Oryctolagus cuniculus: one gene and its partners. The protein of the gene in region 5 purifies or fractionates together with the protein of the main gene of each other region. This does not show direct contact. Links are inferred from orthologs where the notes say so. Each region holds a gene or a part of one and is shown on either strand. Other genes may lie near its edges. The genes, in order: TMOD1, HOMER3, GSN, HOMER1, DBN1 and TWF1.

What was found.
Region 1: the proteins of DBN1 (region 5) and TMOD1 purify together in Homo sapiens (co-immunoprecipitation; 3 studies listed by BioGRID and IntAct, with this or other methods). This does not show direct contact. The link is inferred for Oryctolagus cuniculus from reciprocal best matches to the Homo sapiens genes DBN1 and TMOD1.
Region 2: the proteins of DBN1 (region 5) and HOMER3 purify together in Homo sapiens (co-immunoprecipitation; 3 studies listed by BioGRID and IntAct, counting the BioPlex papers as one, with this or other methods). This does not show direct contact. The link is inferred for Oryctolagus cuniculus from reciprocal best matches to the Homo sapiens genes DBN1 and HOMER3.
Region 3: the proteins of DBN1 (region 5) and GSN purify together in Homo sapiens (co-immunoprecipitation; 3 studies listed by BioGRID and IntAct, counting the BioPlex papers as one, with this or other methods). This does not show direct contact. The link is inferred for Oryctolagus cuniculus from reciprocal best matches to the Homo sapiens genes DBN1 and GSN.
Region 4: the proteins of DBN1 (region 5) and HOMER1 purify together in Homo sapiens (co-immunoprecipitation; 3 studies listed by BioGRID and IntAct, counting the BioPlex papers as one, with this or other methods). This does not show direct contact. The link is inferred for Oryctolagus cuniculus from reciprocal best matches to the Homo sapiens genes DBN1 and HOMER1.
Region 6: the proteins of DBN1 (region 5) and TWF1 purify together in Homo sapiens (affinity purification with mass spectrometry; 3 studies listed by BioGRID and IntAct, with this or other methods). This does not show direct contact. The link is inferred for Oryctolagus cuniculus from reciprocal best matches to the Homo sapiens genes DBN1 and TWF1.

What each region holds. Positions count from the first base shown.
Region 1 is NC_091432.1:201,382,264-201,386,441, reverse strand, and holds part of TMOD1 (tropomodulin-1), read right to left. Parts: intron 3,300-4,178; coding exon 3,192-3,299; intron 907-3,191; coding exon 763-906; intron 1-762. UniProt on the Homo sapiens protein: Blocks the elongation and depolymerization of the actin filaments at the pointed end. The Tmod/TM complex contributes to the formation of the short actin protofilament, which in turn defines the geometry of the membrane skeleton.
Region 2 is NC_091447.1:65,895,121-65,899,998, forward strand, and holds the start of HOMER3 (homer protein homolog 3), read right to left. Parts: upstream 3,352-4,878; 5' UTR 3,210-3,351; intron 2,590-3,209; exon of another isoform or gene 2,436-2,589; intron 2,271-2,435; exon of another isoform or gene 1,835-2,270; intron 1,058-1,834; 5' UTR 1,016-1,057; coding exon 1,002-1,015; intron 908-1,001; coding exon 751-907; intron 596-750; coding exon 464-595; intron 1-463. UniProt on the Homo sapiens protein: Postsynaptic density scaffolding protein. Binds and cross-links cytoplasmic regions of GRM1, GRM5, ITPR1, DNM3, RYR1, RYR2, SHANK1 and SHANK3.
Region 3 is NC_091432.1:225,314,086-225,318,263, forward strand, and holds part of GSN (gelsolin), read left to right. Parts: intron 1-60; coding exon 61-151; intron 152-1,965; coding exon 1,966-2,136; intron 2,137-2,704; coding exon 2,705-2,879; intron 2,880-3,763; coding exon 3,764-3,888; intron 3,889-4,083; coding exon 4,084-4,161; intron 4,162-4,178. UniProt on the Homo sapiens protein: Calcium-regulated, actin-modulating protein that binds to the plus (or barbed) ends of actin monomers or filaments, preventing monomer exchange (end-blocking or capping).
Region 4 is NC_091445.1:3,261,818-3,266,787, forward strand, and holds the start of HOMER1 (homer protein homolog 1), read right to left. Parts: upstream 3,231-4,970; 5' UTR 2,235-3,230; coding exon 2,230-2,234; intron 1-2,229. UniProt on the Homo sapiens protein: Postsynaptic density scaffolding protein. Binds and cross-links cytoplasmic regions of GRM1, GRM5, ITPR1, DNM3, RYR1, RYR2, SHANK1 and SHANK3.
Region 5 is NC_091437.1:63,463,010-63,467,711, forward strand, and holds the start of DBN1 (drebrin), read right to left. Parts: upstream 3,276-4,702; 5' UTR 3,268-3,275; coding exon 3,152-3,267; intron 1,232-3,151; coding exon 1,176-1,231; intron 562-1,175; coding exon 449-561; intron 299-448; coding exon 224-298; intron 111-223; coding exon 1-110. UniProt on the Homo sapiens protein: Actin cytoskeleton-organizing protein that plays a role in the formation of cell projections. Required for actin polymerization at immunological synapses (IS) and for the recruitment of the chemokine receptor CXCR4 to IS.
Region 6 is NC_091440.1:134,928,603-134,932,780, reverse strand, and holds part of TWF1 (twinfilin-1), read left to right. Parts: intron 1-1,220; coding exon 1,221-1,399; intron 1,400-2,897; coding exon 2,898-2,993; intron 2,994-4,178. UniProt on the Homo sapiens protein: Actin-binding protein involved in motile and morphological processes. Inhibits actin polymerization, likely by sequestering G-actin. By capping the barbed ends of filaments, it also regulates motility.

The DNA of each region.
Region 1 (4,178 bases), on a different chromosome or scaffold from region 5:
GTTCTGTATTTTACAATGAAAACATTCAAAGTCCTGACAGCCATGTATCCAGGAGAACCACTGCTGACACGCGGGTGATGCCTCCTCCCAGTGTCTTTCCTATGTATACGCTCAACCATTCAGCAAAGCTTTCGAATGGAAAAAACAGAGCTTCTGATCCATCAAGTGGGAAGCGTTGCAGTGCTAGAAGCAACGTGCCGGGGTGGGAGGAGCATGGCCATTGCAGTGAGAGAGACCCGGATTCAAATCTTGTTTCCTAGGTACCGCTCTATGGCCCTGCTTCTCTTTAGCTGCCTGAGCCGTGTTCTCCGGACAGAGACCCGCGATACCCTCAGCCTTCAGGCTGTTCTGAAGATCAGAGACGACAGATACCAGGTGTGTCGCTCAGAGGCTGGCCCCCAGGAATCCCTCAAGACATGTGACATCCCCAGTAGTGTTCCCCACACACCGCTCCAAGTCCCCTCCTCCTGCAAAGTCAGAACCGAAGGAGCTGCCTGCGGATACATGGCTCAGCCACAGGTGTGACAGTCACTCTGCAAGGCTGAAGACAGATGAGAATCTGCCCCCATTGGAACCCTCAAGGCAAGGAGACTCAAAAGCCCTGTGGAGTGGGAAGGGGGAGGGGCTTGTGGCCTGGTGGTGGAGAGCCCAGCGGTGTGGACTGAGCCACTGTGCAGGCCCCTCGAGCCTGGGGCTGGCCGCTCCCGGGGGCAGCGTGCAGGCAAGTGTGGATTGGCACGTGGTGGCTCTGGCCCATCTCACCTGGTTGTCGATCTTCAGCTCCACCAGAGAAGTGTTGTGGGGCAGGGCTTCCACCAGGCGCAGGATCCCCGCTCCAGAAATGAAGTTGGATTCCACGTTGAGCGTCTTGAGCACCTTGTTCACTTTGAGCATCTCGGCAAGCGCCTTGAGCAAAGCAGGGGTGCCCGTGAGTCCCCCCACCCCCACCCCCCCCACCCCCGAGCGAGGCCGGAGCCCCTCGTGGGGCTGCAACTTCACAAGCCGAGGGCAGCAGGCAGGACCATCTCCCCACCGCCCTTCACCGACTGCAGCTGTCCCCGAGTCTCCTCCCCTCCTCCCTGCCACGGCCGCCGAACCCCAGCCGCTGCTCAGTCTGCACCCAACGCTTCCGGGGCCTGGGCCTGGCACTCCGCCCTGTCTGGCTTCAGCTCCCGCCGCCCCCATCGCTGGGGCCACGCGCAGTTCCCACGAATATGCCCAGGGCTTCGGCTCCTTCCATCTCTTGCCTTTTTATCTCGCTCACCCTTTCAATGCTGCCCTTCCTTCAAGCTGTTCTCAATGCCTCTCTCCCAGGGGCTTCTGCCGACCTCCCGAGCCAGCTGTGGCCTGCTCTCGGGAACCCGTGCTGCATTTTACTATACTTCCCTTGTGGGACGCGCACACCTCTACTCTGCTGTTATCAGTGCCATTGGACCACACCCTCAGGATGAGCTGAAAATGGGCCTCATTTACCCCAGGCCGCTCAGCACGTAAGAGGCCCTCATTCATCGAGTGAGCCATGGGGTCTCCAGTCCTCTCTATACGCTGCACTTGTCTCTTCTGCTGCTCTGTTACAAGGGCACGGAGACACCGTCTGTCCATCTGGGTACCAGCAAGCCTAGGAAACCACCCCACTGGGCAAGTGACCAGGGCCGGCGGGGGGAGCAGAGCTCAGGTGGCCTCCAGCACGTTTCGGAGGGACCCGGCCAGGGGTGTGGATGACGGTCGGAGCCTCTGAAGGAAATGAGGTAATTAGCAGCTGGTGGAAACGGTGCGTCATGGAGGAAAGAGGACACCGGCGGCTGAGGCCCGGGACATTCTGACCGGCGGGCCCTGCTGTGTGAAGTGACACTCGGGGCCAGGAGCGCCTGCCCATCGTCCCCGTTTGCTCAGCTCCCAGGGAGCCTTCCATGTGGAAATCACCGCTCCCTCTGGAACTCCCCATGTCAGCCCCCTTGGTGGACCCACACTGTCCGTGTCCCCTCTGCGCGCCCCAGGAGAGCCTGCCCTAACCACCAAAGACTTTATCAGCCAGGAGACAGTGGGGCCAGACCAGTCTGCTTAACTCTTTCTGTGCTGGAGGGACAGAGGAGGGGGTGGGGGCACGGGACAAGAGCCAGGGCAGGCAGCGGGCTCTGGCAGCTTCTGGCCCAGCAGCGTCTCAGTAGTGGACAATGGGAATACTCCTATGAACGGGCTGACATCAGCTGTTGGTCTGGCACAGGGTCCATGCCCTAGATACACTCAAAGCACTGAGCTGAGCCCTGCATGGATGTGCTTGGATTCTGGCCCATGACCTGGTGGAATACAGGGCCAGTGGCTTTGCCACCTGTGTCACCATGGGCAAACTCAGGATCCACTGGAGGGCTACTGAGGTCAGAGGTCACCCACCCAGAGGTTCCCCACCGGCAGCAATGATGGGATGCTGGGAGCTATTTTTATCATTTCAAAAATATGGCAGGAAAATTGTCCTGTCCATTTGCAAAGGCAGAAAAGGCCCGATTGCCACTGAGTGGTGAACTGCCAGCCCTGGTAGGCTGATTCCTGCTCTGGGGGGCAGTAAGACCCCTGTGCTGTCCTCCTTCAGTCGTGGGCACAGCCACACGGGCCTGTTTGCTCCTGAACGTGGGAGCTGAGACTGTTTGGACACAGCCGTGTTTGTGTCACTGCTGGGCGCTCCGAGGAGCTCAGTGCGTATGTGTTGAATGTTTGGCAGTAAAAAAAAGAATTGATGGCTACTTTGCAGTAAATACAACTTAATTTGATTGCCATTTTCTTTTGAGACATGGGTAAGACACAAATACAGTGAGTCATTTGGTCCTACCGATCTCTTTCTATTGACTGATTTCAGAGTAGGAGACGTCGAGGCCCCGGGAGGGGCAGTGCCTCGTGGACACAGACCTGGCTTTGGGGGTCACATGACTACGTCTGAGGCCCAGGCCCACCTCTCTTTCTGTGCAAAGTGGGGAGACCTGCACCGCTGAGACCAGAGCTGGCTGGGAGGAGGCGTGGCAGGGGCCCAGGCAATGGCTGTCCCATCCACGTCCCCTCCCACCTCCTGGTCCAGTCTTTGCACCACACACACCCCCCAGGACACATTCTCAGTGGGGTCTGACCAGTTCTGGGGCCAGAAGCTTCACGGCTCCTGGGTCTCAGCCCCGCCTCAAATGCCAGAGAGGAGCAGTACGTACAAAGGCCACGGGGTCGTTGCTCCGCGTCCCCACGATGCTGAACTTCTTCACGTGCGAGTTGTCTTTCAGGGCTTCTGCGTACGCCTTGAGGGTGGGAATGGGGATATTCTGCAGAGAGAGGGGCAGCAGAAAGTGACCAGCAGCCCCTACTGGGGCCAGGCTGGGGCGGGCTCAGGGGCGGTGACTCTCACGTGGGGAACCCAGTTCCTTGCTGATTCCCAGTGAGTCTCCATCCAGAAAAACTGAACGGCTTTGTCTCAGATAGCTGAGATCTGGGGAGAAGTTTCTGGTAAACTGATTGGGAACCAAGCCCCTCTGGAGACTTCAGAAGGCACCTGTGGCTCTGTGTGTGCACGCGGAAGCTGGAGAATGAGGCAGAAATCAAGGACTGGAGACCTCAGCAGTGTCGTGCAGAGGGCTCGGGGACAGGGGCTGGTGGAGGTGGGGTCTGGCCCCTGCCCCAGTGGTCAGTGATGTTTCTGTGTGACTCCGGGGACATCTCTTCCCCTCTCTGGGTCTGTTTCTGGAAAGCAGAGATGGGGGGGTTGCACACGATGCCCTCAAAGAGATGCCAACCCCAGAGGGCCCGGCTCTGGCCGCACATCAGAGGCTCCTGGGGAAATTCTACAAAGCGCTGACGCCTGGTGCTGCCCGGGACCAGCGTGCTCTGAATCTTGGTCTCTGCAGGTGAAAACCACTGATGTGATCCAACCGCCTCAGGAGAGGGGAAGCTGAGGCCTGGAGGGGGCTGAGTCCTGGGCGGAAGCCTGGCGGTGAGGTCCCACGCCCTGTGTTGCTCTGTATCTTGATTCTGAATGGTGCCAGCGTCTCCCGCCGGGCACACGGCAGCCAGCTGAGGCACCTGAGAGAGAAGCTGGCTACGTGTCAGCCGCTCTCTCATTTCAGAGTGTCACCCGAGCTCCCGTGGGAGCAGAGTTGGGCAGCCAGGTGGTGGAGGACACCAGAGCACAGGTTTCCAATCTGATG
Region 2 (4,878 bases), on a different chromosome or scaffold from region 5:
AGCAGGGCGCGGACAGGACGGACAGGACGGACGGAGGCCACCGCGTGGGACCCCTGCGCCCCTCCCCCCACGTCAGAGCGCTGGGTCCCAGCCAGCTCCCGGCGCATGCGCCTGGGAGAGCAGAGGAGGATGGCCCAAGTGCTGCGGCCCCTGCACCTGCGCGAGAGACCCGGATGGAGCTCCTGGCTCCTGGCTTTAGCCTGGCCCGGCTCTGTCGGGCTGCCGCAGCCGTGTGGGAGAGAACCAGCGGATGGAAGACTCTCTCCGTGTCCCTTGGCTGGTGCACGGAGACAGCCCGAGGGTCCCGCACAGCAACCATGAGCATCAGTCCCCAAAGAGAAGCAGGGAGAGTCCAGCGTAGGCGCAAGGAGCCAGCAGGACGGGCGCTTGAACTAGGGGAACCGGACTCGACTCATTCTGCGCGCCCATTCTGCAGCCTGGGAAAACAGAGGCCCAGGCGCACCTGGGTTAGATGTTGCTCCGAGGCAAAGCCGAGGCCGTAGACGGTGTTGGCGCGGCTGTCCGCCCACTGCCCGAACTTCTGCGAGGTTTTGGTGAAGGTCATGTTGGGGGTGACGGTGCTGTTGATGACGGCCTGGGGGTGGGGTGGGGGCAAAGTTGACAGGCGCTAGCAATGGTGACCTTGAAAACTCTCCCCCATTTGACCTCGCAGGGGTCAGTGGGGGGGGTTCCCATGCCCCGCGGCACACGGCAAGGTGGGGGGACCAGCCCCAGGACCACACCCCCCACCTTGGCGCCTCCGATGCTAATGATCCGGTAGACGTTTCGGGTGGCATCGTAGAAGTAGGACACGGTGAGCGCATGCTTGCCCGCGGGAATCCAGTTCCGCTTGGTGGCCGGGTCGATCTGGAACACGTGTGCCCGAGTGCTGAAGATGGGCTGCTCCCTGCGCGGGCAGAGCGTGCTTAGTGGGGGGTAGGGGTGTGCTGGGTGCCCCCCCGGGGGGGCTGGGCTCAGGGTCAGGGCAGCTGGGCGCTCACCTGGCTGTGGACATTGGTCAGACCGGGCTGGGTGGCCGGAGCTGCTGGTTTGGCCCCTGTAGAGAGGGGAGGGGCCTCTGAGTGCCCCCTGTGCCAGGGTGAGGCGAGCCACCAGCAGGTGCACAGACCTTCAACCAGGAAAGTGCAGAACGGGAGCAAAGGGGTCCCATCCTCCCCTGTCCGGGGGCAGCGCCCACAAAACCCGGTGCTCGGGGACTCCTGACATCCCAACCTGGCCCTGGGTACCAGACCCCCCCCACAGTCCCCCCTCCATCCTGGGGCTATGCTCCCGACCTGCCAGCACCCATCCGTCTCCAAACCAGGGCCCTTCCGCCAAAATGTGGGGCGCTGCCAGGTGCCCGGAGACCAGCTCCCGACCGAACTCCCAGAGAGTACCCCTCCCCCCCCCGCAGTCACCCTGGGGCACCGGCGCACCTTAAAGACAGAGTCCAAATCCCCAGGGACCCACCCCCCCATCCAACGCAGGTGCCCTCCAGGGTGGGGGCAGGGCAGGATCCAGGAGGGGGCAGAAGAGGGTCCCCCAGTCTCCCTGTTGCTTCCCTTAGCCGCCACCCCCAGGAAGCTGCCCCCAGGACCCCCAGACCTGCACCTGCGGGGGACCTCCGAGATCAGAGGCCGCGATGCCCCTTCCCACAGGCTGCTGTGGGGGGGGGGGGGTCCGAGGCTCAGAACACGGAGCCCCTCCCCACCGGCAGGGGGAGCGGCGGCCAGGGGCGGGTCCCGGGCGCGGCAGGATTAGGGGGGCGCAGAGGTGCCCTTCCGGCCCCGGGCCCGCCCCCGCCGAGACTGGGGCGTTGGGACAAGTTACTCACCCACGGGTCACGCGTCCAGGACGCCGCCGAGCGCGCCCGGGCTCCCGCCGCGGGGTGGGGGTGGGGGTTCGCCACCTCCCGGGGGCCCGGGGCAGAGGCCCCACACCCTATGCGCCCCGGACTCATCCGCCGGGGGTAGGGGACACCCCGGGCGCGCCCCCACCTCGGGACGTCGGAGATCCCCGCGAGAGCCCCAGGTCCGCGACTCCGGGGGCCACCTTCCCTGCCACCCCCACCGCCCGGCGCGGAACTTCGGGGACACCCTGCTGACGCGGACCTCGGAAAGTCGGGGATCCCCCCACCCCGCGCGCGCAGCCTCCTCCGACGCCGGGTGCGGAACGTCGGGCACCTCGCGTGCCCAGCCGTCCCCTCCCGGCCCCCGACTTCGGAACTTCGGGGACCCTCCCCCGCCTCGGCCGCCTCTCCAAGCCCAGATCTAGAACTTCGGGGACCGCCCCCTCGCGCCGCCCCCCGCCCCAGTCCCCAGGTCCGGAACTTGGGGATCGCCCCGCGGCTTCCCCCCTCCCCCCAACCTCCGCCCGGGCCCGGGGACTCCGAGGCCCCCCGCGCTCCGGGCGCAGGATCGGCCGGCCGGGCTCACCCTGCCGGGTCTGCGCCCCGCTCGCTCCCAGCCTCCGGGGCCCGCGCCCTCCGCGCCGCCCAACGCGCCGCCCGCGCCTTTGTCTGCGCCGCCGCCGTCCGCGCCGCCTCCGGTCCCATCGCGGCCGGTCCCGACGCGGCCGCCGCCCGCCCCGCCTCCCCGGGCCGCCGAGGCCGCCCCGCTGCGCCCCCTGCTGGCCCCCGACGGCGGGCGGGGGAGGGGGCGGGGGAGGGGTGGGGATGGAGAGACGGACGGAGACGGACGTCCGGACAGGGACAGGAGGCGGATGCGCAGAGCTGGAGGGGGGTGGGGGGCTCTCGCCCTCGGGCCTGGGCTGGGGGGGCAGCCGGGCGGGGCTCAGGAGCTGGGTGCGGATTCTGCGCCCAGGAGATGCAAACAGTAGGTGCTCCATAGGGGTTACCACCGAAAAGAGGAGACGTGGGTGGGGCAGGGCTGCCTGCCTGGGCCCCTGGGTCTCCCCGAGAGGACCCCAGGCCCGCAGGTGGAGTGACCCACGCTGGCCACGCTGCTGGGGGCAGGGCCTGCCCCTCCCCCCCCAACACGCCTTTCTCTGGGACTTTCTCCGGATGCCCCCCCCCCCCCCGCCACTGTTTTGGGTTCATGGGTTCAGGTCCTGCAACAACTCAGCCCAAGGGTCCCCGGGGCTCTGGGCCCCACCCCCGAATCTTCCCACAGCCTCAGGGGCTCCCCCCCCCAGCCCCCGGCACCCGTGTGTCTCGCTACCCAGAATCCCCCAGCGCAGCCGGTGGCCACCTTTCACGAATGAACGTTGGGTGGATCCAGGGTCCGGCCGCCTCCACGCCTCCCCACCCCGGACGCGCTCCGTTCCTGGGCTCCGAGGCTCAGCTCCGCTGTGGTCCGCCTCCTCCAGGAAGCCTCCCTTGGTTCTCCCAGGCTTGAAAGAGACTCTCCCCCGACGGCCCCATTGCTTCCCAGGGGCCTCCGTACCGTCCCGAGCGCCTTGTGACCCCGCGTGGGCCCCTCCTCCGGGGGTGGCCCAGCTGCTGCTGCACCAGCCGAGGGCCCGAGGCACAAACTCTCGGGAACACGGGAGCGGGGTCTGTTCTGTCCACAGACCGACCTTTCCTTAGGCCCAGCAAAATCATTTTTTTTTTTTTAATAACTAAATCGGTTTCTGGCAAGCCCGGGGCTCCTGGAAGCCACCCCGGGTGTGCCGAGTGCTGGGCCGGCTGCCCACGTGGGTATCAGGGCGGGGGAGGGGAGAGCAGCTGGGCAGGGGCCCAAGCTGACTTTGTTCCTAGCGTAGGCAGAAAGCAATGGTGTCTGTGTGTGCGAGAGAGGGAGAGAGGGAGAGTGAGCGAGCACCGAGTGGCTGCACTGAACCCCATTCCCAGCTTCTGGGAGGGGCTGGCACCCGGTTGGCCTTGAGCAGCCCTGACCTGAAGCCGTCACAGCCGGGCTTGAGGGGGTGGGCGTGGTTCCCTGGGTGTGGACCTCAGTTTTCACCCCTGGGAAATGGGTGGATGCTGGCAGGGCCGGAATGAGCGGTGGGGAGGGGAGGAGGTGGTGTAGACCCGGCTGTCCCCCAGTGGTGGAGACAGGAGAAAGGGCTGCCCCGAGCCTCTGCCCCACCCCCACCCCAGCCAGAGCCCTCCCCTGTTTTAATGTCTCTGGTCCGAGGGTCTGGGGAGGGGCTTCTGCTCCTCCCTGGAGCGCTCCCTTCGGCCCAAGCAGGGGCCCAGCCTCCCGGGTCCCGCGCCTGTCCGTGCCAGGGTTCAGCTCCCGTTCACCTCCCGCGTGGCTCTGTCCTGCTCCTGGATCAAGCCGGACCTGCAGCAGACACCACGCAGGCTTTCAGAGAGAGAGGAGCCCCAGTGTCTGCCAAGCCCCCTGGGGGCAGCAGGTGGCACCGGCTCAGGTACTCGGGCCCCCACCACAACACCAGGGCCGGGCCGGGCTGAAGCCAGGAGCTCCCTCAGGGCTCCCATGTGGGTGCAGGGGCCCAAGGACTCCAGCCATCTTCTACTGCTTCCCCAGGTGCATCAGCAGGAGCTGGATCAGAAGTGGGGCAGCCAGGACTCGAACCCGGTGTTCGTATGAGAGGCTGGGCCACCGTGCTGGCCCCCACTTGCCCCTTTCTTTCCCCTGTCCCCCCTCCCCCGGCCATAGCAATTTGGTCCAGCTTCCAGACTTTAAGCGCTTGGCAAACTCCTATTCACTCCTCAAAGCCTCACCTCTGTGTCCACCTCTGACTCCCCCCCGGGCCTGAGTGCACCTCGAGAGCTGAGACAAACCCGTGTCCTCCCAGCACTGGCTGGACGCCTGGGGGTCAAGGGCGAGCGAGAGTGTGATGCCTCGGGGGCACAGCCGCCGGAGACCCTGCCTCAAGTTCAGAACTTGACCTCTGACTCAGGCCAAAGCGAAGTCACTCCATTCCTTCTGGCCCAGGCCGGAAGGGGTT
Region 3 (4,178 bases), on a different chromosome or scaffold from region 5:
GGGTTTCTCAGGCCCGGGGCTGTGTGCAAACCTCGGGCTCAGTCCTGCTTCCTCTTCCAGGCAGGGCGCCCAGTCGACCCAGGATGAGGTGGCTGCATCTGCCATCCTGACTGCCCAGCTGGACGAGGAGCTGGGAGGGACCCCTGTCCAGGTGAGCCAGCCCACTGCTTCTCGGGCCTGCAACCTGGGCCTTTTCCCTCAGGTTACTCATCCCTAATTGTCTGTCTATCCATCCATCCATCCATCCATCCATCCACTTACCCATGCATCCACTGGCCCATCTGTCCACCTACCCATCCATCCACCCACACATCCATCTACCTACCCATCCATTCACCTACTGATCCACCCCCATCCATCCATCCATCTTCGTACCCATCCATCTACCCATCCACCTACCCATCCATCCGTCCATTCATCATCCATACATCTACCTATCTACTTATCCCTCCATCCCTCCATCCAACAGATCTTTATTTAGGCAGGGCTTCCTTGTGCGTGCACTGCATCTGCAACCATGACACACAGACACTGCCTCTGCCTTGATGGGCTCTACGTTCTAGGGAAAGATCGACACTCTGCAAACACACGCACACTTGAGGACATACCACCACATGCTGTGAAGTGTGCGGCCAGTGGAAATGCTCTCTCCCCGGTGAGAGGGGCCACGTGGCAGAGCAGTTAAGAGCTTGGCTGTGAGTCAGCCCACTGGATTTGAGTCCTGACTGCCCTCCAGACAACCTTGGGCAACTCACTGAGCCTGCGCATGCGCCCATGTTCTCCACATGGGGATGGCAGTAGTACCCCTCTCCCAGGACTGCTGTGAGGACTGAGGTGACATCTGGAGAGCGTCCAGAGCCACACGCGGCACAGGAGGCCGGGTCCCTCCCACGGGCCTGAAGGGTAGGGACCTCCATCCAGATAGGATCTCGCGTGCTCAGTGAAGGCCGCCTCTGAGCAGTCAGCCGGGGCCTAACGACGTGTAGGAGGCAGCCGGGCCAAACATGAAGGAAACGAGGGATGAGGGCGTGCAGTCCCGGAGGTGGGAGGGAGCACTGGGAGTTGAAGCGAGGGAGACGGTACCACGGTGTGAGCTGGAAGGATGTGCACAGGGGCCACGGTCGGCCTCGTTCCTGAGAAGGACAGGAAGCAGCCGCGTGGCAAAGCTGCCATGACAAGGTCATCCTGGCTACTGTGCAGCGCCCTGGAGGGCAGCAGAGCCACACCACGGGGCAGGATGTGGGGGACGCAGTCAAGAACTCCGCCTTCTCCGTCCTCCCCTTGGGCGTGGGCAGGGCGCTCGGTCTGGGTTTGGGTTCAGTGCCCCGACCTAGGAAGCCGTCTGAGTGTTGGGTCCTGAGTGACAGGATGGCCGGCTTAGCTCACTGCACCCCAGCAACGGCCTTCGAAAGGAATCGCGTCCTTGGCCCCATTTTACGGAGGAAGAAGCTGGGTGGTTGGGGCACGCGTTTGGGTTCTCGCCGCTGGGGTGGGGTTGACCTGAGCTCCCAGCAGAGAAGGCACACACGCAGGTCAGGAGCAGCTGAGCTAGAACTGGGCCACCTGCCTCCCACTTCCCAGCCCCCTGCCCGCGGCTTGTGTCCACAATGCCCTGGCCGTGCAGGAGGGGTCTCTCTAGATCTGAAAGGTTCTCCGGCTTCTGCGCCCAAGGCTGGCATCACCATTCCGGAAGAGTGTCCGCCGACAGTCCCGGCACTTCCGCTTAAGGGGATGTTTGCAAACAGCACTCTCCTGTTTCTAGGAGTCAGCAAGACTGGGGTGGGGTGGGGGAGGGTGTCAGAGCAACCAAGGCAGTGTCTCCCGCCCTCTGGGCACACCGGCCTCAGGCCCCATGCCACACGCAGACACGAGTGTGCTGGCCTCCTAGTGGGGACAGGCCAGTGCCACATAGCACAGGCGCCCCACCCCCAGCTTCCCCGCCTCACCTTTTTGTCTCCCTGCCAGAGCCGCGTGGTCCAGGGCAAGGAGCCCGCCCACCTCATGAGCCTGTTCGGCGGGAAGCCCATGATCATCTACAAGGGGGGCACCTCCCGCGAGGGCGGCCAGACGGCCCCTGCCAGCACGCGCCTCTTCCAGGTCCGGGCCAGCAGCTCCGGCGCCACGCGAGCTGTTGAGGTAACACTCAGGTCCCAGCCCACAGGAGGCGTTGCGCTCGCTGGGCCTCCACGCTTGATGGGCAGATCCAGGCACAGGACAGGGTGTGCTTGGGTGCTGGGTGAAGCAGCCCCGGCAGCGGGCTGGTCTGTCTTGGACTTCCCCCCAGGGCCCCTTGGATACCTTCCACAATGGGCAGATCACTACCTTCCATGCAGACTGTTCTAGACAGCCTGGGCACTGTTCCTGATCGCATTGCTGTTGGCTATGGTCCCTTGCACGGTGGAAGGCACAGACTTGGATGTAGTTGTCCAGGATGGCCTGAGAAGCCTAGAGGAGAATGGGACTATAACCTCCTTTGTTTGGGCACTCACCCTCTGATAATATAGCCCAGAATTCTAGGATCTTCTTGGCTGGCCACAGTGTGTTAGTGATTCAAGGGGGTCAGTTAAATCCCCTCAATGGGCGAAGTCTGCACCCCCAGGTCTGTTGGGGTGAGTTTCTCTAAGGCCCCGCCCATGAGTTGGGTCTGCCACAGGCTCTCCTGCGTTCTGTCTGCTTCCCGATTAATCCAGCGCTGCCCTCCCAGGTCATCCCCAAGGCCGGTGCACTGAACTCCAACGACGCCTTTGTCCTGAAAACCCCGTCGGCCGCCTACCTGTGGGTAGGTGCAGGAGCCAGTGAGGCAGAGAAGACGGGGGCCCAGGAGCTGCTCAGGGTGCTGCGGGCCCAACCTGTGCAGGTGGCGGAAGGCAGCGAGCCAGGTAGGAGCTGGGATGGGGCTGCCGCTCTCTGGGGCCTGCAGCTGTTGGTTTCCCTCCCTGTTGAGCACTGTTGAGCAATGATGATGTGCCTGGCAGGAATTAGTGGAGATGAGGAGCAGGACTTTATTATTATTATTATTATTAAAGATTATTTATTTATTTACTTGAGAGGTAGAATTACAGAGAGAGAAGGAGAGAGAGAGATCATCATCCATCCACTGGTTCACTCCCCAAATGGCTGCAATGGCCGGGGCTGGGCGGGGCTGAAACCAGGAGCTTCACTCACATGGGTGCAGGGGCCCAAACACTTGGGCCCTCTTCTGCTGCTTTCCCAGGTGCATTAGCAGGGAGCTGGATTGGAAGTGGAGCAGCCAGGACTTGAACTGGTGTTCATATGGGATGCCAGTGCCGCAGACAAAGGCTTAACCGGCTGCACCACAGTGGCACCACAGTGCCAGCCTTGGAACAGGACTTTTAATTAGGAAGAATTTAAATTGAAGTAGCCACATATGGACAGTTCAAACTAGATTAGGTATAGTGGGAAGATTATGGGGACTGGAGTCAGACAAGATGTACATCCTGGTTTTACTACTGACTAGCTGTGTGGCCTTGGGTGAGCTGCTGAACCTCTCTGAGCCTCAGCTGCCTCAGTGTTGAGTGGGGATAATCACCCCCATCTTGTGGTGCTTGTTGTCAGCCTCAAGCCAGAAGTTGTCCTGGGTGTGTGTCTGCTGCCGAGTCAGCCCTCCAAGTTCCCCTGGGCCCCTTCTCTGTTGGCCCTGGGGCTTTAAGAAGGAGGTGCGGCCGGGGAGCAGCTGGCCGGGCTGGTGCGAGGGGTGGGGCAGCCGGCATCCCTAGGCAGCTGCTGTGGCCTCCCCTTACAGATGGCTTCTGGGAGGCCCTGGGCGGGAAGGCCGCCTACCGCACGTCCCCACGGCTGAAGGACAAGAAGATGGATGCCCACCCTCCTCGCCTCTTTGCCTGCTCCAACAAGATCGGCCGCTTTGTGGTGAGCCCCTGCGTGGACACCTCGGGAGGCATTAGGCGGGTGGGCAGCATGGGGCCGGGAGGAGGCACTGGAGCCCCCTGCTGGCCGATCGCGCCGTGCCGCTCGCTCCGGGGTTCGGGGTCACACGCGGGACGCCCACCCCGGGAAGGGAGGATGTCTCACCAATCCCTTCTGCTCACTTCTGTTCTTTTCCAGATCGAAGAGGTTCCCGGCGAGCTCATGCAGGAAGACCTGGCTACTGATGACGTCATGCTCCTGGACACCTGGGACCAGGTGAGCGAGGGCGAGGG
Region 4 (4,970 bases), on a different chromosome or scaffold from region 5:
GGGCCTTCAGACACCTATTTTGCAAGCTCGAACTTCAGCTGCCTCCACTGCAATTAAAACAGTTCGGGCAACACTGAAGATACTTTGACAGACTCTGCCAACTGTCAGTTCCAGCTGTTCTTTTCCATTTCCACACAGTGCAGAAACTACTAGTGCGGGAGCCATCATCTTTTTTTTTTCTGCCTAAACTAACCACCCATTTTGTCAAAAATAATTCCTCTGCTTAGACTTCGCGCCAAGACGTTCAATGATATGCCTAATGAAGGCAAAGATAAACTTACAACAACCTGATGTGTCTGTAACAGGTGAAACTCTTCACCCACAGCCCTGACCTGTAGGCACCAGTCAGAGCCAAAGAGCTGGGACGGCCTGGGTGAAACGTTACAGCCTTCCTCAGGGTCCGGGCAGCTTGGCTCATTCCACAAACATTAGCTCCGGCTCCGGCCAAGCCCGGAGCCTTCCTCAAATGCCTTTGCTGCCTGCTCCCAGCCTGGCCCTCTCAACAACTCACGTGACACAAGTCACAGCAAAACTAACAGCACACTCACTCTCCTTTCTCAAGTCAGTCCTTCACGAAAGAGCAAACAAACGTGCTGCCCGTCTAAGTTTCATTATGTTGCCTGTCTACACGCGCCTGATCCTACCTGAAGGGCTTCCACAGGGTAAACACCAGTGCTCTCATGTCAACTTTACCCCACATTCCCTTAGCACAATGCTGAGCTCGACTACGCAAAACGGGTTTTCTTCCATGATGTTCCCACCACACCGTCTACAGAGGACGCAGCCTTCAACACGGGAAAAAAAAAAAAAAAAACTGCCTATTTTTTTTCTCCAACACATTTAAACAGAGCCACTGATGCTTAAGGGAATCCATATTTCGAAGACCCTCATTTAAAACTGGTATTCATCTGGAGCAGTTTCCCAATGCTAGCACTCTCCCGTGTCAGCACTTCAACTGCCATCCGAAACAGCTACTTCAAGAAACCAGCCGGTAACCATTGAAACGGGAAGAAGGGTGAGGAAAGAAAGAAATTCATTTTCACGGGTTGGAGCCTTTTTAAAAGGCCACCTCATGGAACTCCTTCATGCCACAGAAACCACGAGTCAGGGAGGCTAACCTGCTTCCCAGCACTAAGCTACTAACAGCAGCACCAGAAACAGGACTGCTGACTTAATTACTCTTAGCGCTGCCCCACACCAGGCAAGTTCAGAACACTAACCATTTAATGTTTCAAACATTCAGTTCCTCAGAACGGACTCCTACCTCGTGTATTCTGAACTGTCCAAGTCCACGAGCTTCAAGCGTAATTGCAACAGAAAGACCCTATCCAAGAACTTTGGTCTGGGAGTTTCAGAAAGCGTGGCGACAGCCCTGGACCTCAGAACACAATCAGAATCCCCTCCTTCTAATCTTGCCCTCAACTACACCCAGCGTAGTTGTTTAACCACAAAACAAGGAAGATTCTGGAAGTCCCCCTTAGACCGAAAGCACGGGCGATCTATCACGGGCAGGAGTAGCTCATTACTCCAGGGTTATACGGGTTTCCAGCCTGCATGAGGAGGTCGCTAGGATTTTAAGCAGCGACAGTGTTGAGAGCGAATCCAAGGTTAGGAAAATGCACTCTGGACTGGCTTTGGGTGAGAAGGCAGGAGAAGGAATGACACTTAACACAAACAGCAGGTCTGAGCGACACAGAAAAAAAAAAAAAAAAAAAGGAGAAAAAGTGTACAAGTTCCTTCCACCAGGAGCCTGTCCACATCCGATCTCCGCCCCGCGCGCCTGCGACTCCCAAGTGTCCATGCCCAATCAATCGACCCCACGCACTTCAGCTTTGGCTATTCAAGGGCAACACAGAGGGCAAGGCGGGGGCAGCAACGACCGAGCGTGGATCGCGCCCCCGGCCGGAGTCCGCCGCGCCGGGCTCCGGGAGGCGCCGCCACACACCCCCAGGTCGCGCGGTTCTGCCCGGAAACCCAACCAGCTGCCAGCCCGAAGCCCGAGCGGGCAGCGGCGGCCCCGCGAACGCGCCCGCGGAGCCCACACTCGCCGGGACGCGCGCCTTCCCTCCGACTCCGGAGTCACTCGACAGAAATAGCTCGCGGAAGGTGAGCGCGCTCGTGGCTGAAGGCAGGGCCAGCTCGGCGAGGCGGCAGACGCGCCGGGACGCCGCGAGCCCAGCACCGGCAGCACGGCCGCCCACCGACACGCGGGTGCACACACATCCTTACCCCATCTTGCCCAGCGAAAACTTGCTCGCAAGTTCCTGCTCGCGGCGACGGGGTTAGCCGGCGGGCAGAGGGGCTGCTCCGAGCGGCGACCTGGCCGCGCCGCCCCCGAGGTCCCTCGGTGCCGCCGACCGGTCACTCCGTGCTCCCTCGGAGACACCCGCGCGTCCGGACACAGGTGCACCCGCTCGGCGGAGGAGACGGCGGCCGCGCTACTCCACGGCGGGAGCCTCCATGGGGGAGGACCGGAGCCGGCTTCACGGAGTCCTCGGAAACACGGCCGCGCCGCCCATTCCGCTCAGGCCCCTGCACGCCTGGGCAGGGCCCGGGAAGCCGGCCTTCTCGGCGCGGGGGCTGCGGGTTCAAATTTCTCCACACCAGGTCCCCGGGGGGGTGGAGCGAGCGAGCTGGCCGACGTGCACTTCAGCAAAAAAAAAAAAAAAAAAAAAAAAAAAAAAAAAAAAAATCCTAGCAGCAGCAGCAGCAGCAGCAGCCGCACCGGCGCCGCTGGCCCGCGCTCCCGTCGGCAAGACCCGCACAGCACAGCCTGCTCCGAGCGCACAGCCGGCAGCGCGCGGCGTGCACGGCGCTCCACATCGGAATCTGTCTAATGCCTCCCCTGCGAGGACGCGGAGCGGGGAGGCGGCGGGGAGGCGGGCGCGAGGGCTGGGCAGGACCGAGTCGCTCTCCCGAGCGCGAGCAGCGGGGCCATGTCCAGGCCGGCAGCAGGCTGGGGGCGCCGCGCGCCCGCGGCAGCAGGGGGAGGCGGCGACCCCACCCCCTCAGCCCCTTCCCGGCCCCCGCCGCCGAGCACAAAGGGGCCCGGCGGGCGCCCAGCTCCGCAGCCGCCCTGCGCCCGCGGCCGAGCGGCGGCGAATGAATGAATCAGAGCCCCGGCGCCCTGCCCCCGCCCCGGGCGCGGAGGGCCGGCAGAGGCGAGCGCGGCCCGCTCGCTCAGCGCCCGCCGCCGGCCTCGAGCCCGCCCGCTCGCCGAGGGGAGGGCGCCGCGTCCCGGTCGGCGGCCGCGCGGGGCAGGGGCGGGGCGCGGGCGGGGCGAGCGCGGGGCGCGGGCGGCCCCGGCCCGGCCCGCGGCGGGGAGGGGCTGCAGCGGGGCTGGAGCGCGGCGGGGGCGGCCGCGGAGCCCCGCCCGCGGGCCCCGCCGACCCGGAGCGCGGGAGCGCAGGAGCGCAGGAGCGCGCGCGCGGGGCGCGGGCCAGCCGGGCCGGCCGTGCGTCCTCCCTCGCCCCCGCCGCTAGTGGCCGGCGGCCGGCGAGCTCCGGGCCGCCGCCTCCGCGCGCCGCCCCGGGTGCTCGCGCTGTGCCTCCATCCTCCCCGCAGGAGGACCTTTAAATAGCAACGTCAGCGCGCTCTCGCCGCACGCGCGTCAGCCGCCGCTCGCGTCACCCGGTGCGGGGGATGATGTCACGCGGCCGGAAGTCCTGCTAAATTAGGGACGGCGCAGGGGAGGAGGAGCGGGCGGGCTGCCTGTGCCCACCTGCGCGGCTGCTCCTGAAAGGCCACCGCACGGGAGAGGGCCCGCGAGCGGCGGCGGGAGGAGGGGGCGCGCCCGCCGCGAGTGACTCACTCCTGGCGACGGCGCGGGCGCGGGCGGGGCGCGGGCTCCCCGGCCGGCACCGGCGGGTGGGTGTGGGCGGGGGGACCCCGGTCGAGAGGCTGTCCCCGCGCGGGGAAGTGACTCGCGGGACCCGGGCGACTCTGGGGCTCGCCCCTGCTTACCCCGAGAGGGCCGAGCGCGGAGCCCTGAGCGGCCGTCGGGGCGCTGGACGGCAGCGGTCACCGCCCTGACCGGGGACGCAGGCCGCGCGCCGGCGGAGTCGCCCTGGTCTGCGGCGGGACCGTGGGTGAGACCCGTCCGCCCGGTGATCGTCCTCGTCCACACGGCCGGTGGCACTGGTCCCCACGCCCCGGTGTGGCGAGGGGACGCGGGCCAGGCTGTGGGCTGGAGCAGTGGCAGCCCCGCTAGGCACCTGTTCGTTAGCGCGAACAGGGTCGGGTGAACCGAGATCCCGTAGGTACGGAGTTGTTTCTCCTGTCCTGCCTGGTCGGGCTGAGTGTAGGTGATGGCCACGTGCGTCTGTGTCTATAAGGGGATTTTATGAGGGCTGTTCAGTCCTGAGCACCACGGAGTCCCACTTGTTGTAGCAGAGTTGATTTGGGAGGTAGTTTCAAATAATGAGCTTAGGTTTGATTTTGTTTAGATCGATGATCATGGTCCAAAATGGAATTAACTGTGTTTAGCCGAAGGCCATGAGTGTTCCAGAGTTAATCTATAAAATCAGTGAGCATGTATTCCAGTCCACAATGCCGAAACACCTCTCGACATTAGAATTACTGGAATCCTAGGTGACCTGGGAAGTTCTGGATTTAGGATTAGCAACTTGTGAAGTGATTTGTTGGGACAGTTAGAAATCACTACCAGTGCAGCTCAAATACAAAAAGTCAACTTTTATAGAATGTATACCACGTGGAGACAGAGAGACGGAGATCCTACATCCTCTGGGTCACTCCCCAAAAGGCCACAAGGACCACGGCAGGGCCATGTGGAAGCCAGGAATTTCATCCGGGTCTTCCATGTGGCTGCAGGGACCTGGACTGGAGGTGAAGCAGCCCAAACCAGTGCCCATATATGGTGCCAGCCGCTGAACCCGTGGTGACACAACGCAGGCTGTGTGGTTTTTTTAAGTCACGTTTTAATGTGAAATTACTCACACAGTTCCTAATTA
Region 5 (4,702 bases):
CGGTGCAGCACGGGGCTGGAGAGCCGGGCCAGACCATTGGAGAGCCGCTGCCCGATGGCGCCCGCATCGATGTCCTCCACGCTGCTGGCATTCACAATGACATCCACGCCCTACCACAAGAGGGCAGTGTTCAGACAGCGGTGAGCCCCATTCCCGTCACCACTCAGGGCACAGCCGCAGCCCCCACCCAGGTTGGGGGTGGTTACCCTGGGCCCGCACTCACCTGGAAGAATTCAGCCACCTTAGCCACGTGGCTGGCACAGGCACACTTGCGGGCATCGGGCACATCTTCGCCGACCTGTGAAGTCCCCAGAGAAGCAGGGATCAGGAAAGGAGGAGAGAGGCAGCAGCCCGAGGCCCCAGGGCCCAGCGGGTTTGCTCGCCCCGCGTCAGCGGGCAGAGGGGGTGCAGGGCTTCGCACTCCCGTGCCCGGCCGGCGGCTGCATACCCAGTTGATGAGCACGTATTTTGGCAGAGCCGCCTGCGAGTCCTTGACGCTGCAGAAGCCGTACATCACCTTCTGGTTCTCGAAGTGGCCTGAGAGCTCCTGCAAGCCCCCTTCTGGGGGAGTCAAGAAGGCGTCAGGCCTCTGGGCCTCCTAAACCCTGACCCAGCCAAGGGCCTGGGACCCCAAGGAAGGACTTCGGTGGGCTGGGCAGTCACCCTCCAGGAATTTTGGGCCCTGAGCACGGGAGGTCCCCCAGAGCTTCGCGCTGTGTGCTGGGGGTGCCTACAAGACCTAACTTTGCCTCTGAATCCTCCAGGGCCCCAGGAAGCGTCTGTTCTTCACACTTCCTTCCACATTTCTCACTCTCCACACACTCATCTCCCCAGGTGCTAGTGCCCAGAGAGGTCAGATACAGCTCTCGTTAACAAAGCCTTCCGGGTTTGAGAATGTGGGGCTGACCTGGGCCATTCTTGCTGGCCCCCTTCCCTCTGAGCTGTGGGACTTTGGACAAGTGGTTTTCCGTCTCTGAGACTCCATCTCCAGGATCACACAGGAAGCAAGAGCCCCCTCCCGGCCCAGCACGGGGCTAGTAGGGACGACCAGGAGGAAGACAGCCCCCAGACCAGTACGGGCGGGAGGCTGGCCGCGCGAAGAGCCAGGCGGTGGGGAAGAAAACAACCAGAGGAGGGGGCGGGAAAGAAGGCGGAGGAATGGCTGGAATTCTTACCTCCGGAGGCCGCCAGCTTGAGGTCATCTGAGCCATCCTCATATGTGTACAGAGCCCTGGGGAGAGGGAGGGGAGGCTCCTGGAACTGTCAGGGCTCAGGCTGCCAAATTTGGGTGGGGATGGCTCTGGGGAGGGAGAGGGACACAGAGGGGATTGGGCGGAGCGGGGAGGCTCCTGCTGTCACCATGACTACAGGGCCGAGGAGTGTTTCTGGTTGCAGCCCGGCAGGGTGCATTCTGGGAACCTGGTGGAGGCCTGGGTCAGGTGCAGAGCAGAGAATCAGGGGCGAAGCCGCTTCCTGATGGAGCTCAGCGCGTCCAGCCCCGGCCCTGGCAGCCCACAACCCAGCGGAGCGGGTGTGCGATGGAAACTCCAAGGCAACGGTTCCTTGGTTACCGTTCCCTGGCTACCACAATCCTCATCCCCCATTGGCCAGGGCCAGGAACCTACCTGGCGCACGCCTTGGTACCCGAGGCCCCTCCCCTCTTGGAGAAGGAGGGGGAAGAGAGAGAGAGAGAACCTAGTGATCGCACAGCTCTGGGCATCCCCCGGTAACCATGGCAACTCAGCAATTGGCACTCGCCTGGCCCACCAGAGCTGCATTCTCCTCTCACACAAAGGACCCCAGGGACCCGCCCTCAGACTCCATCTCCGCCTCTCAGAAATGGGGATGAGGTCACTGCCCAGACACTGGCCTCAGGGTGGCCTCACCCTCCTGGTCTTCCAGACCCTAGGCCGCCTCCGCCCTAGTGGGGGCCTCCTGGGACTACCAGCTTCCGGCCAGAAAGCTGACCTAGCAGCCTTCCTCCCCCCACCCCGCCTCCTTTCTCCTCCTGCCTGGCTTCTTCTGCCCTGGCTCTTTCTCCCTGGGCGAACGGCAGAGCATCCATTTCACGGAAGGAAATGCAGAGACGCCTCCCATCAGGAGGCGGCCCAAGCCGGGGACCCACTGGGCGGAGAGGCCTGGGCCCTGTGCCTGAGGCTCAGAAGAGCTCAGACCCTTCTCCAAACTCCCACCTCCCCACTGCCAAAGCAGGAGGCTGGGAGATGCCAGGAAGACAGGCAGGAGCCCGGGGGGCTGGAGAAGAGAAAGGGAGAGGCAGTGACAAGGAAGAAGAGAAAGGAGGGAAGTGAAGGGGTTAAAAAGGAAGGAGGGAGGAACAGAAGGAGAGAAAACCAGGAGGGAAGAGGGAGGCACGGCCCCATCCCCATGGGTCAGCAGTGCCAGAGCTGGGTGACCCCCAGCCCCTCCTCTTCCTGCCTCCCTCCCCTCTCTGCCCCCAGCTAAAAGCACAGGTGGGCCCTGGGCTGGGAGCTCCTGGCCCAACTGTTGCCCCAGCCCAGGCCCCGAGGACAGCTGCTTCCGGGCACAGCTGTCCCACCACCTGTCCAGCTGCCCTAGCCCCTGCTGGGAACAAAGGGTTCTCACAGAAGTAGGGTCTGCCCCTTTTGTTTGCAGATGAGAAACTGAGGCAGAGCCCAGGGATTCTAGTTCCTAGACACTGCTCTAAACATCCACAGGTCCCAGGCCACTGGGCCGCTGGTCTCAGCCAGGGGCAGGCTCTCTGAGGCTCACCTCCCCACCACCCCTTCCTGCTAGGGCCGTAGCCCTCCCCCAACCCCCCAACCCCAGAGGAACCCACCGGAGGTGCACCCTTCGCCCCAGCCTGCCCTTCCCCTCACACCACACACGAGCTCCCTGATGGTTCTCAGCTCCAGTATGCTCTGGAAATGTCTTCCCAAAGCCTTTGTTCACAAGGCAACCTTCCCCTCCACGCCCAGGACCCGGGACCAGCCCCCAGCAGCTTCCCTGCGCTGCACCTCCCCTGGGCATCTGTCATACACCAGCAGAGACAAGAAGAAGCACCTGCGCCCACCCCGATCCGATGGAAACAGTCTTCTCAACCCCATTTCAGACCCCCTGGGCCAGGGTGAGAGGGGTGAAGCTGGTGAATCCACAGGGAATCAGCACACACCTCCCCAGCTCCAGCCCCTGGAGACAGGCAGCGCCCACAGGGTGAGCTTTGTGAAGGCAGGAACTCAGGTACCACACACGGCTCTGGGGGTCCCCGTGTCCAGCGTAGGGTGACATTAGTAGCATCTGTGATACTGTCACACGCTTAGAAACTATCTAGGCCAAAGAAACTGGATTAGGGTGAGGTGGGAGCTGGAATGTGGTAGCTCCAGGAAAATCCCGGGGTCAGCCGGGGCTGGGGGTGCAAAGACTGGGGTGGGTGGGTCCCTTCGGACCACCACACTCAGAGGCTTAAGCTGAAAAGACCTCCCCACACTGAGCCCAGTCTTCTCAAGACCAGAGAGGAGCAGGAACTTGTGAGCAGTCACACCGTGAGTCATTCCACAACGGGGCATCATGGGCCATTTCTGCTGTACAACCTCACTTCCCGGGGCTCCGCTCCCAGTGTCAGGGGCTGTCTATCTCAGAGGCCCTGCCACCCAGGAGCAAACCCCCTCCCGCCCCTCCTTCTCCCCCACTGAAGCTGCTCCCCCCATTCAGAGGCAAGGGAGGGGAGGAAAGTGCCAACTCCCCTTTGCCCAGACAGCAGTTTTACCCAAACGCCCCTCCCCTTGGACTGCAAGTGCAAGCTGTTTGCCCTGAGCCTGAGACCTCACGGTCTCCGGGCTCCACGCTGGTTGCTGGGGGCACTTGCCGCCCCTTCTACAGTATGTGATGCTCACGCCTTTCTCAGCAAATGCCACGTGGGCCCTTGGGATCCAGCATATGTGTGTATGTGCAAGGGTGCATGTGTGCATCTGCGTGTGTGTCCCACACACAACACAGATGGGGGCTGACGCATGCCTGTGATGAATAACTCGCCCTGGCCACGTGGAAGTTGCTGGGAGGTGGGGGCCCAGGCTGCTGCTGGCCAGGATATGGGGCAGCAGCGGCTGTGTGGCCCCAGCACCGGGGCACCCGAATTCGGGGAAGGGGTAAGAGAGAAGGGGGTGGTGAAAGTGAATCCCCCCAGACCCAAGGGCAATGGAGACCTTCAGCCTGGACTACGCCTCTCCAACATCCCAGGGCCAGCTCCTCCACCGGCCAAGCCGGCCACTTGCCCAGAACTCCTCCTATGATCTCAGCACCCCTGGGGCAGGGCTGGGACAATGGGTGGGCCGCCTGCCTGCTTAGCCTGTGCCGGCCCCCTCCCGTGACCAACCTGCAGGACACCACAGCTTGCCTCCCGCGTCCATCCCTCCAGGCCTGGCCGCCGGCCAGTGCTGCAGCAACACAGCATGGATGCCTGGTCATCCTGAGCCCTCTGCCAGCCCCCAGGGCCATCGTGTCCCCACCTTGCTGCTCCAGTGAGGTCCCTCAGACCTGCACTCACACCCGGCCTCAGCTTCTTTGGAAAGGGCTTGGGGAAGAAGGTCTAGGAACAGGATGGGCTCCTGCCCTGAGAGAAGAGTGAGTCCTCAGGGTGCCAGTGAATCCAGGATGGGGCAGCAGTTGAGAGCAGGTGGTGGTCATCCCCTCCCCCAGCTGGGCGGGGTGGGAGGGCTGGGGGGGG
Region 6 (4,178 bases), on a different chromosome or scaffold from region 5:
CAGCTGCTTCCAACCTTTTCTTAAATTTAATGTTTTTCTGATACAGTTCCATTTCCTGACCTGTTCCCCCTGAGACAGCGGTGGGAGTTTTATATTTGTGCCATCTCCTTTTTACATAAATCCCTAACTAGCTGTTGTACTGTTCGTGTTTCTAAGTTCACATAAACCACATTATCCTCTATCACTCTGAATTTTCCTTTTCCTGTAAATTTTGTAATTGGCTTTTATGGAGCACTCATTAGTTGCTGTGCACGTATTACATGTCCATGGTTTTCCTGATGAATAGTCATTCCCAGTTTTCACTGTTGTGGCATACTGCCGCAGTGAACACCTTTGTGCAAAAGTCCGACAGGTTTTCTGTGCAGGTTCAGTTACACTTTTACCTCATTCTGCCAAATATCACCACACAGTGATTGTACCAACTCAGGCTTCTGGGTAGATTTTAAAATCTATAGCATTGTGCTCAAACAGGAGCTAAACCGACTTTATGTAATACACCTTCGTATATGTAGTTAAGTGTTAATTTCAGAAATGGTGTTTTTGGCTGACAGTACAGTTTTGTTTATTAAATTTATTTGACAGGTAGAGTTATAAACAGAGAGAGACAGGTCTTCCTTCCATTGGTTCACCTCCCAAATGGCTGCTGTGGCCGGCACTGTGCCATTCCGAAGCCAGGAGCCAGGTGCTTCCTCCTGGACTCGCATGGGGTGCAGGGCCCAACACTTTGGCCATCCTCCACTGCACTCCCGGGCCCCAGCAGAGAGCTGGACTGGAAGAGGAGCAACCGGGACTAGAACCCGGCACCCACATGGGATGCCGGTGCCACAGGCGGAGGGCTAACCAAGTGTGCCATGGCGCTGGCCTCGGCAGTACAGTTATTTAAATATATCTTGTTGATAATTTATAGCCCAGACATTTTGGAAAGTAGAACTGTATTCACCCATTATTTAACCATTCAGCTTAACTGTTAGGATCGTTTTTATGTGTTCCTTTCTTGTGCTGTATATTAAATACTTCAATCATGCTGTTCGTAAAATCTTAATATCTGTTTTAATAGTACTTTATATTGTAATTATATTCTGTTACCACCTTTTTTTTTCAACTTTTGGTGTAACAGTAATTTGGAAATAACTACATATTAATTTATTCTCCTAGTGTTTATCAGACTACCACTTGGTATTTCAAACCATTTATATATCTTTAAATACTGCTTTTCACAGAGCAACTTGTGATTGGCTCCTCTCGTCAGCCTTTAGACTCTTGGGATAAGGATTATGATCCTTTTATTTTACCCCTGTTGGAGGACAAACAGCCATGCTACATATTATTCAGGTTAGATTCTCAGAATGCCCAGGGATATGAATGGATATTCATTGCCTGGTCTCCAGATCATTCTCATGTAAGTAATTTTTAAATTTGTTTATTAAATCATAGAAGGACATTTTTCTGAATGTTTCTAGGCCAAGTCAAGGTTAAGAAGCAGTAGTCATTTCCCATAGAAGGAAATGCGCATAGAGAAATTCTTTGAATTGCTTATGTAAAATCAGGATAATGTACTTAGATTCGGAAGTCTTGCCCTTGAAATCAAAATAATTAGCATTTACCTAAAATTTTTAATTTTACTGTCTGGTATATTAAATGATATGGGCCTCTGAAGAATGAAGCTATTTTGTCCTGAGAGATAATTGTATTAAATCTGAGGACTAATTGAGTATTACATTTTGTTATTATTCCCCATACATTGTTAATGGACATGTGCACAGCAAGTATTTCTTTTAGGATTGTAGACTTGGTAAATAGAACAGAAGATAAGATGAGGATATGATCCAGCACACAGAAGTGATACATGTCTTAGTGACAGCTCCACTCCTTACTGTGACCAGATCATTGCACATGTATCCCTGGGTTAAAATGCTGCCTGGTGGCTGGTGCCGCGGCTCAATAGGCTAATCCTCCACCTGCCCTGCCGGCACCCTGGGTTCTACTCCCGGTCGGGCGCCGGATTCTGTCCCGGTTGCTCCTCTTCCAGTCCAGCTCTCTGCTGTGGCCCGGGAGTGCAGTGGAGGATGGCCCAAGTCCTTGAGTCCTGCACCGCATGGGAGCACCTGGCTCCTGGCTTTGGATCGGCGTCTCAGCTGAAGCACACCAGCCGTAGCGGCTATTTGGGGGGTGAGCTAACGGAAGGAAGACCTTTCTCTAACTTTGCCTGCCCCCCCCCCCCAAAAAAAACAAAACAAAACAAAACAAAACGCTGCCTGGTGGTACCCTCTGAATGGACAAGTATTCTGTGTCAGTTAAAGAAATACAAACACTGCCCACAAAGAAATACTGCATTTGACCCTGCAGGATTATGAAATTATTTCTATTAATTGGTAGCTTTTGTTAGCAACTTGCCATAGATCTCTCCAGACTCTGTTTTATTGGTGTGTAGTATATTTCCCTTTATCCCACATCCCTGATAGAATGGTATATGCCATAAGTGAGCCCTGGATAGTTGATGCTTGACAGCCTGATTAGTAATATCTGATCTAGCTTTGAGTAAAATGTTGCCAGCAAGGTTACTTCATTTCAGTGTTTTCTCTTTAAGACCCTATTTTAAGTAGGTTGTTACTCTTGAGCTCATTTTATGCTTTGACAAATGAGGAGTTTTTAAGAATTTATATTTTTTCCATTTTAACAAAGTTACATAGATTGAAATCTACCTTAATAGTCATCGATAATGTGGAGGCTCATGTTTTTATGGTTGTTTGTACACGTTTAGCATGTTATGGTCAGTGGGCTTCAGTTTTAGCACAGTTTATTTTCAGTGTACTTGTAGATTTTTTTTTTACATTCAGAATATTCCTTTTTTAATGATGTCTTTTCATGTCTAATTGTGAATTTTCTCAACTGAATAGGTTCGTCAAAAAATGTTGTATGCAGCAACAAGAGCAACTCTGAAAAAAGAGTTTGGAGGTGGCCACATTAAAGATGAAGTATTTGGAACAGTGAAGGTACAAACCTAGGTTTTCAATGATACAATTAGAATGACTGATGAAGAACTCCTAGGTAATGCATAATTGATATGAAGCTGCATGGATGAATCTATAAACCTAAGACTAAAAGAAAATGGTGGTTTTTTTATATATCAGACAAGTTAATGCTAATATATCACTAATTTTGAATTCATTCATTTGTACCTTTGACATTGAGGATAAAAGGTATTGAAATACACTTATCCTAAAATACTTACATGGTAATGACATGTGTTTAGGTATACATACAAAAATTAAGAAAATTGAAATATTTTTGAACAGTTTGTGTGTGTTTAGAGCTTTTCTGATTCAGAACGTAATGTAATCTAGTGGGTAGGACACAATTCAAAATGGGAATGTGTTTACGATTGATTGTAAGGTGGTCTTAATTTAATTTTATAAGCCTCAGTCTCAAACTGTGGTTTTTTTGTTTTTGTTTTTTTTTTTTAATAGGCAGAGTGGACAGTGAGAGAGACAGAGAGAAAGGTCTTTCTTTTGCCGTTGGTTCACCCTCCAATGGCCGCCGTGGCCGGCGTGCTGCAACCAGCGCACCACGCTGATCCGAAGGCAGGAGCCAGGTGCTTCTCCTGGTCTCCCATGGGGTGCAGGGCCCAAGCACTTGGGCCATCCTCCACTGCACTCCCTGGCCACAGCAGAGAGCTGGCCTGGAAGGGGGGCAACCAGGACAGAATCGGGTGCCCCGACCGGGACTAGAACCTGGTGTGCCGGCGCCGCTAGTTGGAGGATTAGCCTATTGAGCCGCGGCGCCAGCCAACTGTGAAGTTTTGATAGGTAGACCACTTTTGAGTTTTTTTCTCTTTATATAAAAAGTGTGGTAATTTCCTCTGAATAATTACAGAAAAATTACTTAAATAATCATATAACTCAGAATATAAAGGTTGATTATTGATAATTATAGGGCCATTCCCCCTAAAGGCTAATTACAGTTGTTTTGTAGACTTGAGCATGACCAGGTTCATTGGCTAGCATCACCACCAACAAACTTCATACAAAAGATTTTCTGATAAAAACTTCAGCAAATGAAGAGTAGGTACTCTTCTCCCTTAAAAAGTTTTTTTTTTTTTTAAAGATTTTATTTATTTATTTGAGAGGTAGAGTTACAGACAGTGAGAGGGAGAGACAGAGAGAGAGAAAGGTCTTCTT